Oryza sativa Japonica Group: one gene and its partners. The protein of the gene in region 3 interacts with the protein of the main gene of each other region in a pairwise test. Links are inferred from orthologs where the notes say so. Each region holds a gene or a part of one and is shown on either strand. Other genes may lie near its edges. The genes, in order: guanine nucleotide-binding protein subunit gamma 1, coleoptile phototropism protein 1, guanine nucleotide-binding protein subunit beta and guanine nucleotide-binding protein alpha-1 subunit.

Region 1 (4,167 bases), about 2.2 Mb from region 3:
GCCTCCTTGGCACTCCACCCGACCACAGCAGCGCAGCCACACCATCGAGATCCAGGGCCACATCCAATTACTTCACATGATTATGCACTTCATCAAATCCCTCCCATAAACATGCCTGCCCATGACAGCATGTCATCTTCATGTGATCCAAATGTCTATGATTTTGGTTTTACTTTCAGTGCGAGGAGCCTCAGGTGTGTCTGTTAGTGTGAGCCATACTTACTGATAAAAAGATTGGCAGTTGAGTTAACCAGTGAACGCACTTTAGTTCATTTTCTTCAAATATAAATGCATAAATTTGACGATAAATTAGGAGGCCAGTGAACCATCAATTCTATGAAGTGGGTTAGTAGGCTAAGACCCACTAAATTACGTGCCCCAGCCATACTTTGGAGCGCATGGCCATGGTCCATGGATCTCGATACACATGGACAACAGGTTTTATGATCATTGGGAATTTTCTTTTTCTTATGCTTGTTACCACTTCTTTTTATCAATGTGATTGTATATCACAAGTTTGCAATAAGTGTGGCTATGTATACCCCTGATATAGAGACCGAGTGAGATTCTTCCATTATCTAAAGAAAGGTGATAAACACCCATTAGTCCTTGGTAGTTTTATTTTCTAGTTACTTTATTTACTCAGTTGAGTATGGTAAACTCACAGTACATGACTTCAAAGGTCACTTTCCCATCTGAGTATGTGACAGATCCGATGTTGACAGAAGAAAGAAGAAAACTTCCTCCAATGAGAAGGAATGAGAACTACAGTGTGATACTGTACCAATTGCAACAGGATTTACTACAAAAACGAAAATGAAATTCTATTGTGTGGTTCATTAAATTGATTCTATTTGTTCACTGTTGTTATTTCAAGACAGACTACAGTACGATGTTGACAACATCATTTACCACCCAAAAAAAAACTCTAAAATGAAGTTCTATTGTGTGGTTCATTAAATTGATTCTATTTGTTCACTGTTGTTATTTCAAGACAGACTACAGTACGATGTTGACAACAGCATTTACCACAAAAGAAGAACTACATTTGCATTACGACTTACTTGTATCCTCTGAAACTGGTACCCATGTGCATAATGAAGAGATTTAACACAAAATACTAAAACAGTTTTATAGAACAAACAGATAAACATTCTTCTAGAATGATTGTTCTCCTTTCTCTTCACAATCTTGATTCCTCAATAGTGAGTACAGAGCATATGATAGTATTCATTTGGCGTCTAATTCTAAGAACTTACAAATTAAGCATTTTGAGTGATGCACATAACTAAAATGGTTAGCTGATTACTCAAAGAACATACAGACAAGTTCCTTTTTATTTGTTGATAGAGCAAGGATATATTGCAGATGTCATTTTTGCAAAGGGGCAATCATGTCAGAATGCCCCTTACACATCATAAGTACTGTAAAATAACACAAAAACAGATAGAACTATCAAGTAACAGAAAATAACTATGTCAACAAAAATTAGTGAATTCATAGCGGTACTTTCCTGTACCAGCAGTGAACAAATTGGCTAGCGAGTCATGCTAAGGTTTCGCAGCAATCAATTTCATTTACCATTTCATAAATCCTAGTGTTATTTTAGAGTTTAGGAGAACCATTTATTCAGCAAGCCTTTTGATCCAACAAAAAACTAGATTGGATCTCACAAAACAAACCAGAACACATGGCTACCCATTCTAAACAGGTCCCCAGGAAGGGGCATCAGTATTCAGTAGTATCCCTGAAGCAGTCTTCACTCTTGAGTACACTGTCAGTCCCCAATCATTAGATGACACAGAAGAGCACTTTTGTTTCTCTGGGCTCTGGTATAGATCCTTAAAAAAAAAAAGAACTCTACAAACTACAAATAGTCAGGCAGGAAATACTAGAAAAGAAAAGGCCCACAAAAAGGTACGGAAATAAATATTTTTTTGTTTAGGACAAGCAGGCTCTGCACGGCGACCATGCACATGCGCTTGACTTCTCTGCTCCTCTCCCCCCACATTTCCTCACCCATATGGGCCGCCATGGGGATCAAGCAAGTTCGGACAGAAGGCAACAAAAAGAAACCTTGGACAAACATGGCGAGCGCTTCGTGCTCGGTCATATGGGAACATGGGATTGGAATCATTGAACATGATCGAGCCGAGCGAAATGTTAGGCAAAAAAGCATAGCATGCATTTTCGTTAATTTCGAGGCGGAATATGCGGCACCTTTGCAGAGGAGAATTGAAATGCTCTCCTCCATTAATTTCACACCAAATAATCCCCATAACAGAAAGTCCTAAAGAAACTATTTTTCTTTCCTTTTTCCCCCTTTTTTGCTATATACTCCTAGATGAAATCTAACCTTTAATACTGCAAGAATTCTGGAACCAAATTTGGGAAGAAGACCGGTAATGCTAGTCGACCAAGAAACAAGGGAGGAAGAGGAGAGAGAGAGGGAGACGGACCTCGAGAAAGCGCGCCTCTTGCTCGAGCTTCTTGAGCTCCGCCTGGATCCGGTGCCGCCCCCGCGTGTCCCCGGCGTCCCCTCCTCCTCCGGCCTGCATCACCGCCGTTCGATCCGGTGCGGGTGCGGTGGTGCGGGTGGGTTGGGCAGAGCAGCAAAAGACGAGAGAGGAGAGAAGTGGAGGTGGAGTTGTCACGGACGGAGGGCGGGGTGGCGACGGAAAAGGTTGGTTTTTTTTTCTTTTGGCTCTGTCTCTGTCTCTCTCGCTGTGGTTTCTGAATGATGGACGACGGGAGTACGGGACGGATCTTCTGCCTGCAACTTTCAGACTTGGGAGTACAGGTTTTCAGTTTCAGTTTCAGGTTCAGGTTCAGTCGAGCGAGACGCTGCATGTGTCTTATACTTTTCCCATTGTCTCTTTCTTTGGCCCCGTCATTTCGGTTATTTTTATGTTTGTAAAATCAAATTTTAATTTTTATAACTTAATTTTAGAGTGACAAAATCCAGTAAGATATACTCCCTCTGTCCTACGAATAACCAACCTAGTACCGGATGTGACACATCCTAGTACAACAAATATGAATATGTCACATCTAGTACTGATTTTTTTTTGACGAAGGGAGTAGTAGGACATTGATTTTGCAAACAAGTAGTTTATATTTAATTTATGTTTTTTAATCGTAGTTTGTTTCATAATATTTGCTTCTGAGTCACTAAAGACACGTATATAAAAACCTTACTTAGGAATTTACATTTTTAAGTTGCTAATAATTTGTATGGATAAACCTAAGTATGTGTGAAACGATGGGACTGTTGATCTTCGTTTGCGTTCGTTTTTCTTTTCTTTTACTCGTTTGGCTCTTCCGTAAATACATGTTTTATATTATTTTTTTTGCTGACGTAAACAAAATACATTTATCTCATGTATATGTTTTTTTAACTTCGCCATGGGTGTCATGACTCATGAGCCAGTCCATGAGTCCATCGATCCACTGCTTTGATCAAGAGCTAGATGCGGCAACATTTCATCAAAGTCATAATCCACGAGCATAACGATCATGACATCAAGCAAATTTTCTACCAGGTACTCCTGTCGTATCGGATATATGATGTTTTTATTAGATAACAATAGGTGAACAATGAATCCGATCAATTTTATTGATCTCAATATGTCCTCTTTTACAGTGTATGTATACATGATGCCTAGGATTCTCCTAGGATTTAGGGGAGATTTAAGCCTCTGAATGTGGCTATTTATATGTCACAAATGCTCCTTAAAATGACTTTTACAAGATTGATGATTCACTTGATTGCTGCAATTGCTGCCCTTTGATAAGATCAAATATGACCTAATGATGCTTTTGTAACACTCCTCATTTTTATCGAGTCCATCTTGAGACCAACTTGTTCTTTAGTTCCTTTGAAAAACCCTGTGGGAAAAAAATAGAAATAATGTGATTGGTGATTACTCTATCAGAAATATGTAATGTTTAAGGGGTAATCCATGCCTTGTTTTATGTCTAGAAAAATCCCTGTGAGGAAAACATGAGATAAGGCATAAGCTTGTATCTAACATTGTCTCATTAAAAACTTTGTATGAGAAAAACCGGATGGTAAATCTTACATGTTTCTGATAGAGTAATCACTAATCATATTATTCTTATTTATTCACACAAGGTTTTTCTAAGGAATTAAAGAACAAGTTGATC
Region 2 (2,755 bases), on a different chromosome or scaffold from region 3:
GTAAAATGGACTTTTTCTTTTTTTTTATGGAGGAAGTACTTGCTAGAAGCTACAGTTCTATAGGCACAAAACCCTACCCATGCAACAGTTTTTTTTTTCCCACAGCAGTATATTGCCTCCTTACCGGTGCGTTGTGTAGTGATGGTGCTTGGCAGGCTCATGCACAGACACACGAAAAAAAAATAATCAAGCGGGCATGTGCAGGGGGAGGCTTAATACAGTTCGTCGCGCTCGATTAGTTCCATCTGTAAACGGCCGGCTTAAAAATTAAACCACTTTAGCTACAAAGACAAATAATTAAACAAATTTCTTTCTATATATGCAAGAATCATTTCAAAGTTCTAGAACTAATACATTGATCTTCCAACAAACTTAGCCCATCGTTTAGCATACGCTGATTATAAGCCGTAATGGCTTATGAGCAATCAAAAAATAATGTGCGTGCGTGCGTACATGTCCTTAACGATTTAAAAGTAAAAATTGAAAAATAAACTACGGTTTAAAAAAGACCTAAATCAACTCTAAAATTCAGTTTTAAAATTCAAATTTAAGCTGAAAGAAGACCGATTGTTTCTCAAGACAAATAGGAGACAACGGCTAAAATCATCTGCTTGAGTAGTCCTCAGACTCTGCATAAAATGGATTAATTCTGTCTGAAAACGCCATGAACATCACTACATCAAACTGAGCAAAATGGACTCTCTCAAAATACAAAAGACCCATGAAATTACTTGAAAGTTGAAACCAATCAACCATACAGCATCTAGCTAGGCAGCTACTCCATTTACGAGATGGAGTTCCTCCACCTTCTCGGGCCCTTCCTCGCCGCGGCCTCGCCGCCGCCGGGCGGCGCCACGCCACCACCGGCCGCCGCGTCGGCGCCGGACATCTTGGCCAGCCTGCCCAGCTTCTTCCACCCGCTGCTCCACGCCGACGCCGACGTGCCCTGCTGCTGCTGCTTGCCGATCTTGGCGGCCGCCGGCGACGGCGCGCCGCCGCCGCGGCCGTCCACCTGTTTCTGGAGCGCGTCCATCTCGTGCTGGAGCTCCAGGTACTTGGCCTTCATGCTCTCCAGCTCGAACTTGAGCGTGTTGATGTCCTTCTTCGCCGCCGCCCACCCCTCCTGGAACGACTGCGGCGTCCCGTCCAGCAGCTGCCGCCGCGTCGTCGGCATCGCCGGCGCGGCGTCCGCCCCCGGCGCCGAAGACGACGACCTGAGCGCCGCGGAGGAGCTCGCCAGCGCGTTGCTGATCTTGACCTGCTCGGTGAAGAGCACCTGCACCACCACCCGCAGCGGCAGCCTCTCGTTCTGCGCCGCGTGCATGCACGCGTCGAACGACAGCTTCTGGCAGTCCATCACCCTGCACAGCCTCTTCCTCTCGTGCTCCGTCAGCGTCGGGTGCGCCTGCAAATCGATCGATCGCCATTAACTCCGGCGATCACCGGAAACTAGCTAGCTGTAATGTGCTAGTTACCTTGAGGTAGGAGTCGACGGCGCGGTACAGGCCGTCGTCGCAGGCGCGCGCCGACTCCGGCAGCGACTCGGCGAGGACCTGGAACTTGGTGAGGGAGAGGTTGCGGTCGCGGGAGACCTCGGAGAGGTAGCTGTCGAGCAGCCGGGCGACGCGCGCCTTGGCGTTCAGCCCGCCCGTCGACGCCGACGCCGACGCCGCGGCCGCGGACGACGGCGGCATCCTCCCGCTGTAGTACTCCGGCTGCGGCGGCGGCGGAGGGTCGCCGCGGCCGGGGCTGGACGCCACCGCCATCTCCGTCTGCTCCTGAACCAGGAAGTGCTCGACGAGGCGCTGCACGAGGTCGACGTCGTAGGCGGTGTCGGCGGCGCGGCCGCCGTAGGAGGGGATGAGGAGGTCGGCGAGCGCCGCCTGCTCGAGCTGCATCCCGACGCGCTTCTCGAGCTCGGTGACCAGCGCCGGGGCGGCCCTGAGCATGATGGCGAGGCGGAGGAGGCGGAGGAGGAAGCCGCAGGAGACGCTGTCCCGCTGCGGCGGGGTGATGCTGATGATGCTCTCCACCACCATGCGCTGCTCGCGCGACGGCGCGCTGCAGGCGGCGAGGACGTCGTCCTTGCCGCCGCCGGCGCCGGAGATGATCATCATGTGGAGGCCGCCGCCGCCGACGCCGGCGGCGGAGGCCTGCGCCCACGGCTCGTCGTGGGTGGCGCCGAGCGGGGCGTCCTTGGTGAGGCCGGGGAGCCATTTCGACGCGTAGTGGGTGATCGCCGCGCCGATCAGGTCGAACCGCATGCCTGTCAAAAAAAAAAACTTACGTTTTTAGTTGATGGAATTCTTGAAACAGTTCAGCTACTGTATATGCACCGTGCAAATTTGTTAATGTCTGGGGTAAATCTTTTACAATTGTTAGCATGCACTTATCTTGTGCAGTTTTTTTTTTCAAAATAATTAACTGTAGCCATTATAGTTTTATCGTGGATACACCATATTTTCAAACTAATGGTCTATTTACTTCATAGCCACACTTTTGACAGCCATAGTTTATTAGGTTCATGTTATGGTTTGACACATTTTTTTTAATAGTATGTTCTACACGTCATATGCTCAATTTTTTTTGTCAACTTTGCTATATTTTGTGGCTAGCAATTTATTGTGGCTGTCACTACCTTCTTAGTTGTAGTAAAGTGTCACCGGTAACCAAATACACCCTACATTTCCATAGGCAGTTTCTGCCCGTGCAAAGGCCATTTTAGGTGCCCGTAGAAATGTTCTTTTAGTAGTAG
Region 3 (4,213 bases):
GGACAGTCGCATCATATGAACTCAAGAGAGGCAAGAATCGACCATGGATTTCAGTTGGTTTACTCTGCAATCTTCTAGCCCAGAGCCATGGTTATGCAGAGTCTGTAAGCCACAACTTAGGATTAGGATTTGTTGCCGAGGAGCCACTGCCGCCATAAAAAAACAGACTACTGCTTGCATCGATGCGCCGAGGAATCACCGCCGCCTGCTTGCCGGAGCCTCCGTGGACTGCCGTTTGCTTCAACGCGTCAAGGAACTGCTGCCTGCTCGCGTTTCCGCACAGGCTAGCCGGAGCCACCGCCACCACCTGCTCGCATTTCCACACAGGCTCGCCAGAGCCGCTGCCGCTGCCGCGAACTGCTGCTGGCGTCACTGCGCCGAGGAGCCACCACCTGCTTGTGTTTCCGCACAGGCTCACGACCGCTGCCGCATGCTCTAGGTCTAGGATTTGTGGATGATCTGATGGAAACGGTGGAGGATAACAGGAGACTGAACATGCTCAAGGGTAGAATGGTAGTCTCATTTTTCTAAAATCGTTTTTCCCCCTTTTTTATGTCTCCTTAGCTCATTATTGTGGGACCCACCTAACTTCCATCCATAGTAGGGGTAAACGGTGACTTCATTTTGAAAAAACATGGGTAAATTTGCAAACCCTAAAAAGTGAGGGCAAAATCACAGTGGAGATTGAAAGCTGGAGTACAAACACAATTGTCCCTTACTTTATTGGCAAACAATTTTTATTGCAGGTTCATGATTTTATTTTTCTTTCCTTTTTACGCGATCTATTACCTCCAATGAGGTAATATGAATGCCATCCATTGGACCAAGGTGTAATTAAGAGTACCATAAAAAAAATCAATATACTATAAGAGAAACCAATGGTAACAATCTTTGAGACCATGACAAGTCAAACCATGCCGCATAAAAGTGAACAAAGGGAATACATGCAGCTGTGACTAGAAAGGAGAAATAAACACTGAACTATCCTCCTAGGAGAGACTAATGTTTGTATACCAAATCACTCAACCATGTCCAAGTTTTGCAATAAGCATGTTACCATTCCATGCATAAGGGAGGGAGGCAGCCAGCGATGGTTGTCTGTGACATTGCTTCTGCAAATCAACTAGTGGAATTTTATTCCATAAAATATACAAAAACAGTATTGCCTATATGGGGAATACATTCTAACAAAACCTATTTTTGGCACTTTTTTTAGAATATGACTCTGGTTGATTCAATGGACACAAGTGAAACAACATTTCTAGGGGACGATAGAATTCTAAACAGGTAAATGATGAACTGGTTGTCAAAATTGCAATCTAGTTCAACCTAGTTCTGTCTATGGGTAGTACTATCTGATTAGGATGTAATGCCATCTATAAAAAAATATTAGCCAACACATGCTTAAATATTGTAAAGTATCATAGCGATTTCACTTTTTAGAAGGAAAAGGACTAACCCCTGCTCTGATTGAAAATGAAATACACAGGTAAAGAATGGAATTCTAAGGATGGAAGCAACCAAAAGTGCATCTACCTACACAGGTTTTTTATTATTACACACAAAATATAGCATTTAACAAAGTTACTCTACTTATCCACCTTCATCTCATTCCTGTGAACCAAAGGTCTTGAGCCTTATCCTTTATAACAAGAGCAACCTCCATAAAAGAAGACTTTCTCCGCTTCCCACAGTAAAGGATAAGCAGACCAAAACATTCTTGGACCAATAAAGGTTTACAAAGTTTGTTCCTCAAGGCAAATGGTGGCTTTATATTTAGAAATAGGAGAACCAAACCTCCTCAAAACCAGAGAGTAGCTACACACCACACAGTTCAACTAATTGTATTACCATTTATATAACATAAGGCAAATAAAGCAACAAAAGCATGCAAAACAGCAAATATGACATAAGTGCTTAATTAACTTTCTTCTTCTTGAATAGCATCTCGAATTCAAGTTCCTCCTACCAACATTCCTAAACACAAGATAATTTAACTCTAATCTACAACAATGCAACTTGACCAGTATTAAAAACATGCTAAAATCCACACAAAATTAGACCAAATAATCAATATTTGCCCAAAAATGATGCATTCAACTTAATGTCAAGTTTCTTAACTAGAGGTACCAACCCAATCACCGAATCTTACTCACTCGAAATTAACTGGGCTTACACTACCACCCCGTCTAGCACCAGTTGCAACTATTTCTAATCGCAAACAAGTGCTAGTACTTCATCCATCTCTTCTTCCACAATTCAACCTCCAAAACCGTACGACCGAACCCCAATTCGCAAAAGCTGTACCGAAATTGAGATACGAGAGGCAGAAAGTCAACTGATCAGCAACCTTTCCGCTGTGGCCTTGAAGCGTGCGGCAGCACACCAGATCCGTCGGGTTGAAGCTCACCGGCGTCCGCCCCTGCGTCCTCGAGTACCTCTCCACTGCACATACACATACACACACCCCAAAACAATCAGCAAAAAAAATAAACCCCGCTAAATTCACCCCGAGCCCTCGAGAGCTCCCACCGCCTGTGGGGGTTGGAGGGGTGGGTGGGGGGGGACCTCACCGTCGGTGTCGAGCAGCATCTGCCGCCTCTGACGGAGCCGCTCCCGCAGGGAGTTCACCGACGCCGTGGCCGCCGCGTGCTTCTCCTTGAGCTCCGCCACGGACGCCATGCCGCCGCCGCCCGCACGCCCCCCGCGACCTCGCGCTGGTTGAGGGAGGGGGGATCTACTGGGATCCGGGCATGGAGGCGAGGAACGCAATGGCCTCGGCTGGAGCTTTCCGGAGCTCGCGAGGAGGAGGAGGATACTACCACGGCGGCGGCGGCGAGAAACGGACGCCGAAATGGGGTGGAGGAAGAGAGGGGGGGGGGGGCGAGTTGTTGGGGGACGCGTTGCGTTGGGTTTAGGAGGAGGAAAGAGGAGGAGGTGTCCGACTAGGCTGTTTTTATGTGGATGACATGTGGGGCCCACCTGAACGTGGGGCCCGCGGTAGTAGGGTTGGTTTTATGGCAGACTGGGGAGAAGTGGGGGTAAAGGGACCACCGGGGAGTGACCGTTGTGTGAGCGGGCGACTGTCACATGTTTATGCAAGTTTTTTTTTTTGAGAAACTAGTTATTGTTGATTTGTTGTCAGCTAGTAGTATCTGTGGCTTGATTTTCTCTGTTGTTCAACTGAGTGTAGAGAGTTCGGAAGAAGAAGAAGATGCATCGATGCTGATACGAGATTTCTCGAAGGCTAAATCCTATGAAATGACATTGAATTTCAATCGGAATACAATGTGTAAAATAGAGAACTATAAATCAATTTATAGAAAAGATCATTTGACTTATAAACTTTGGGTCTCTAAACTTTAGATGTGTAAACTTGGGGTGTATAAACTTTAGATGCATAAATTTACTAAAATAGAAAAATAATGTGGTGCCAAAAAAAGAAACCACGTGAAGGAGGGGGTGATCGCTAGGGGCGATCGATCCTCCGTTAGCCTTTTCGCGACCTCCTACGCACGGTGAGAATGGATGGAATGATGACATCTGTATTTTAAGTAACTGTAAAACTGTTCAATTCTTTCATATAAAAGAATATTTCTTTAGATTTCATTATATTTCGCTCACAAGTCAATACAGTATGACTCAAAAATGGGAATTACAACACTTCCCTTTGTAACCGTCAATACTTTTCTTTCTAAATCGCCACCATTTTTTTTTTACAATGTGTATGGGATCCCTTTGCAAGGTTGATTCAACAACTCAGCTCTTACAGAAGAATGATGTTGAAAGGTCAATCATGTTGCCACATGGCAAGAAAAACCAACGAAGGAAAATGGCCAAAAGATCTGGCCTACCAACTGCTATCCCACAAACTAATTCCACAACATCGAAAATGACACTACGGGTACCTTTTTTTTTTCTTCCGTTTGACGGATAAAAGCACCTTTCAATTTCAGATTACGACCCTGATGTTATATTGTCTTTTGAAATCCACAAATCTCTTTCGTTACAAGTATGCACAAGGGTTAAAAACTTAAGCCAATGCAATGTTTGGGACACGCAAGAAAATAGAAACCACATTCATCAAAGAACATTATACTACCTCACGAGAAATTACTCCAAAAATCCGATAAAACTGTCATATTCCAGACAAGCATGACAACATGCACGTACAAATAATGCAACATAATCGACTATAAATATAGGCATATAC
Region 4 (4,015 bases), on a different chromosome or scaffold from region 3:
CTACAACAGAAATGTTGCAAATCAAAATGTTTGTATTCCCAGATTTAACAAGACATGTTCATATGCACAGATTTAGCTTTAACTGTTGAGTAAAGAGTAAGCACAAACCTGGTTATCTGGGGATATAACATACTTTGAGGAATCTGATTCCACTTGTGAGAGTTCTTTTGCTCCTTCATATAGTATCTGTTAACATTTAACACATTACTCGACAAAAAGGAAAAGTATGAACGCATTTCCTTATGAACAGAATACAAATCCCTAGTCGAATCTCCTACATAATCCCCACTTTGCAATAAGAAAAAAAAGACACACCCTTTCCAGTATTGCATACTTTAATTGTCTGATAGACGTTTGCATGGATAACTGATGTGTAGCTCCTAAGTTCTGCCTCATCAAAGCCAGTTTGGAAAAGGAGCTTAATCTGCAGGTGAACAGTAAGAATACATCAGACTAACTAGCGGCGTACGGATTATGATTCTCCATGGAATATAACATTCATCACCTGTTTAAATATCGTAGACTTCCCTGATTCTCCCGCACCTTAAAACAGAAGCAATTGAGAGAGAGAAAGAAGGATGGATCCACATTGAGAACAAGTTCAAACTAAAAATTTCTAGGATACATTTATTTATCTTCTTTTTTTTTGGAAATAACATGAGAAAGGTTTTTTTATAGAGGTAAATAGGAACAACATAAACAATTAATTTTCTGAACCAATAGATACTAAAGGTAGCACAGATAATTGTGACAAGGAAAATGACCACTTAAATTTGGGAAAGTTAGCAATACCAAGAAGTAAGAGCTTGTGGATGTGTTGCTCTGCTTTTGTCTCTTGCAAAATTCGCCTGTCAATGTCTGCAGACTGTTACCAGCTGAATTAGAAGAAACCAAATGTGGCAACTCTCAAATCAAGAATTGAGTTAGCATTTACTTGTTCAATAAGTCCGAGTGCTAACTTACTTTTGCATTTTTGGTTGTTTCAGCCTCACTTAAAGAATGAGATCTGCTACAGGATGAGCCCATGTTATCAAGCACACAGGTAAGCACGGACATTATTTTAGAGGTATGCTCTCATGCCTGAGCCTCTCTCTTTCCAGGAAGCACGTTGACGTCTAGATCTCAGGATCCATGAGCTGCATACATGAGCAGTAAGCTCGAGCGAAATGTGGCCAGCATTTGAAAAGAAAAGATTGTACAGAGTAATGGTTTGCATAGTTCAATATTGCTGACCCACATTGTTATACATATCCAGAAATATTATATGAAGGAAAAACATTAGTAACCATTTTCCGACCAGGATTCATTTCCGACCAGGATCCATTTCAATCACTGACACTTAATAAATAATACGTGAAAATATTTAGAAATACATCAATATCATTGTTTAATAATAATACATCAACATCATTGTTTATTAATAATATTTTTCCTTGCGACGGTGGGGAATGGGGGCAAGGAAAGGGAAGGTGGGGGGATTGGATGGTTTGAGTGACTCGGGGAGGGAAGTGGAGCGAAGCCTCCCGGGAGATAAGATTTGCGCAGAGGCACGCGTGGCCTACGCATTGGCACCGCTGGCCTCCATTTGGGCCGTCGGCTTCACATCTGACGGGGTTGGTGTCGAGGGCTCGGGGCCCCGGTTTTTGCGTTTTGAGGGAAATGCGTTCCATATGTTTCCGACGAGGAGTATTCCAGAATAATACCTACTACATTTTTTATTTCTTTTGATGAAAGTAGGTAAGGTGTCTATTTTGATTGGTAATAAAGAACATAGTTTACATAAATATTACATATGCTCTAGCAGATAAATAGTTAAAACATAACGATTTTTTACCATAACGGTGGGGGGAGCCAAACTAGAAATTAAGAAATTAGGAGTAAACATTAACCAAAAGTGCATTCTATTGTTATTAGATTGTACTTGGCATATATCATTTTGTTTTTTTATTCCAAACTATAGTTGATTTGAATTTACTAATTACCTAATTTAAATATCTATATTATTAGTCTAAATTATTTTTAAAATTAAAAATATTAAAATATTACAGATATATCACAATGTTTTAGGGACGGGAAGACAAAGTACGTTCAATGGTTTCAATTTATAACCTGATAAAGAAAGAATGTTAAATTAGATTCATGCCAAGTGTCACAGTATGTCCTTTAGAAAATTTTGTGGAATAAAAATTACTTATAAGAATATACCTTGATAAAAAGATATTTTGTGTGACTATGGGTAGTTTGTGGTCTAGATTCTTCTTAAGAAATTTATGTGAGTTTGGATGAGTACAAATTATGTGAGCTTACATTTTTCGTTCTAAGGGTGTTTGGATGAGATTCAATAACCAAATTACATCTGCTAAAAACGGAAATCAAAATTAACAACTTGAAAGTAGGTGGAGCTGGGCAGAGGCAGATCTAACCCTGTTTCGGTTGAACCCCCAAACTTTTTGAGGGATAACGCAGAATACCTGATGAGGTGTGGGTAGGGAGGGATGCTCACCGGCGAGCGACGATGCGGTGGAAGAAGGAGGACGCCGGGCGCCACCTCTGCTCGCAGGATGGGGATCGGCGCAAGCGGCGGGCGAGGAGACGAAATTCGAGGCCGAGGCCGGATGGGATGGATTAGGATGCGAATGCGGCGGGAGCAGGAGGACGCCGGCGCCACCTCTGCTAGCAGGATGGAGATCGGCGCCAGCGGCAGGCGAGGAGACGGGAGTCGAGGGCGGCGGGCGAGGAGACGGGACGGATTGGGGAGGCGGAGGTCGTGCAGCGCTCTGCTGCCGCGTTGTCGCCTGCCTATGGGTCATATGCACAGGCGCCTCATCTCCCAAAAAAGTTCATCTAAGGTCCCTTATCTTGTCGTTGAGTTTTAAACGGCCCTGAACCCCTAATCTTGCAAAACGGTCCACTTTTAATCCCAAGGTAGTATTGCTTTCCGGTTTTGTTGACGTGGTGGCTGAGTCAGTGCAGGGCCCACGTGGAACCCACAAGCCAACTAGCAATCTTCTTCCACCTCACTCCCCTCTACTCCTATCTCAACCCAAACCTCTAGGGCATTCGCCAATGGGTGGGGAGAAGGGTGTCGGTTGGCAGGGAAAAGCTCAACGGCGGAGGCCGCCAGCTGACGTGGCTCCTAATGACCGGGAGCGCTCACGTCATGGACTTGCGCACGTGCGGGGTGTGGCGGGTCCCAACTACAACTGCTCGCCTTCTCCCCACCCATCGCCAGGCGCCGTCGTCGGGCACCGGCCACCACACACCTCTCCCACGATTCAGCGTCCTCTTCACATACAACTGCTCGCCTTCTCCCCACGCATCGCCAGGCGCCGTCGTCGGGCACCGGCCACCACACACCTCTCCCACGATTCAGCGTCCTCTTCGCTCCATGACGCAGCCGTCAAGAGCCCAGGGTGACTCACACCTTCCCTCCCTCGTGGGCCAAAGTCGGGAGGATGTTTGCATCCATATTCGATCGAGGGAGAAACCTCATTTTCTCCAGCAGCCGAAACATGCCAACTCCCGCCCCCCCGCAGCTGGGGTAACAAGCTCACGCCACCGAGCTCGCCAGGAGCGATGCGAGCGCGTCGTCTTTTATGCCGGTGTCAGTCGTCATAGATTTTCCATGTGGTACTAAAAACTTCGTTTTTGTGCGTGACAGTTGCGCGTAGAATATGTATGGGCTTTGCACGCACGCCGGCCCGAAGTCTCGAAATTATCCAGGATCATCATGCGCCGTCCCTCGTGAAGGCCGCCGCCGCCGGGTCCGTCGCCGGCGAACAGCGTGGCCACCGCCATAAGCCACCCGCTGATCCGCCCATGCACAACAGCCCATCCTGTTGCAGCCACTCCTCGCCGCCGGCACAACCACCACCACCGGGCTTTCTCACCGACACCACCGGCGACGGCAGCGGCAGCCTGACGGCCAATGTTCTGCACAATGTCAATCTCCTGCATATCAATCACACTCCCAACCCTGAAATGGTGGAATACCTGCTAGTATTCCACTGCAGAT

What was found.
Region 1: the proteins of guanine nucleotide-binding protein subunit beta (region 3) and guanine nucleotide-binding protein subunit gamma 1 interact in a two-hybrid assay, tested with the Arabidopsis thaliana proteins (2 studies listed by BioGRID, with this or other methods). The link is inferred for Oryza sativa Japonica Group from reciprocal best matches to the Arabidopsis thaliana genes AGB1 and AGG2.
Region 2: the proteins of guanine nucleotide-binding protein subunit beta (region 3) and coleoptile phototropism protein 1 interact in a two-hybrid assay, tested with the Arabidopsis thaliana proteins (2 studies listed by BioGRID, with this or other methods). The link is inferred for Oryza sativa Japonica Group from reciprocal best matches to the Arabidopsis thaliana genes AGB1 and NPH3.
Region 4: the proteins of guanine nucleotide-binding protein subunit beta (region 3) and guanine nucleotide-binding protein alpha-1 subunit interact in binary tests that used the Arabidopsis thaliana proteins (3 or more experiments, as listed by UniProt). The link is inferred for Oryza sativa Japonica Group from reciprocal best matches to the Arabidopsis thaliana genes AGB1 and GP ALPHA 1.

What each region holds. Positions count from the first base shown.
Region 1 is NC_089037.1:25,117,336-25,121,502, forward strand, and holds the start of guanine nucleotide-binding protein subunit gamma 1, read right to left. Parts: upstream 2,814-4,167; 5' UTR 2,559-2,813; coding exon 2,460-2,558; intron 1-2,459. UniProt on the Arabidopsis thaliana protein: Guanine nucleotide-binding proteins (G proteins) are involved as a modulator or transducer in various transmembrane signaling systems.
Region 2 is NC_089036.1:22,087,846-22,090,600, forward strand, and holds the end of coleoptile phototropism protein 1, read right to left. Parts: intron 2,267-2,755; coding exon 1,476-2,266; intron 1,406-1,475; coding exon 785-1,405; 3' UTR 538-784; downstream 1-537. UniProt on the Arabidopsis thaliana protein: May act as a substrate-specific adapter of an E3 ubiquitin-protein ligase complex (CUL3-RBX1-BTB) which mediates the ubiquitination and subsequent proteasomal degradation of target proteins.
Region 3 is NC_089037.1:27,271,372-27,275,584, forward strand, and holds the start of guanine nucleotide-binding protein subunit beta, read right to left. Parts: upstream 2,862-4,213; 5' UTR 2,683-2,861; coding exon 2,574-2,682; intron 2,446-2,573; coding exon 2,351-2,445; intron 1-2,350. UniProt on the Arabidopsis thaliana protein: Guanine nucleotide-binding proteins (G proteins) are involved as a modulator or transducer in various transmembrane signaling systems.
Region 4 is NC_089039.1:15,701,838-15,705,852, forward strand, and holds the start of guanine nucleotide-binding protein alpha-1 subunit, read right to left. Parts: upstream 2,846-4,015; 5' UTR 2,504-2,845; intron 1,137-2,503; 5' UTR 1,057-1,136; coding exon 964-1,056; intron 866-963; coding exon 793-865; intron 544-792; coding exon 506-543; intron 425-505; coding exon 335-424; coding exon of another isoform or gene 316-334; intron 187-315; coding exon 109-186; intron 1-108. UniProt on the Arabidopsis thaliana protein: Exhibits a fast rate of basal nucleotide exchange. Guanine nucleotide-binding proteins (G proteins) are involved as modulators or transducers in various transmembrane signaling systems.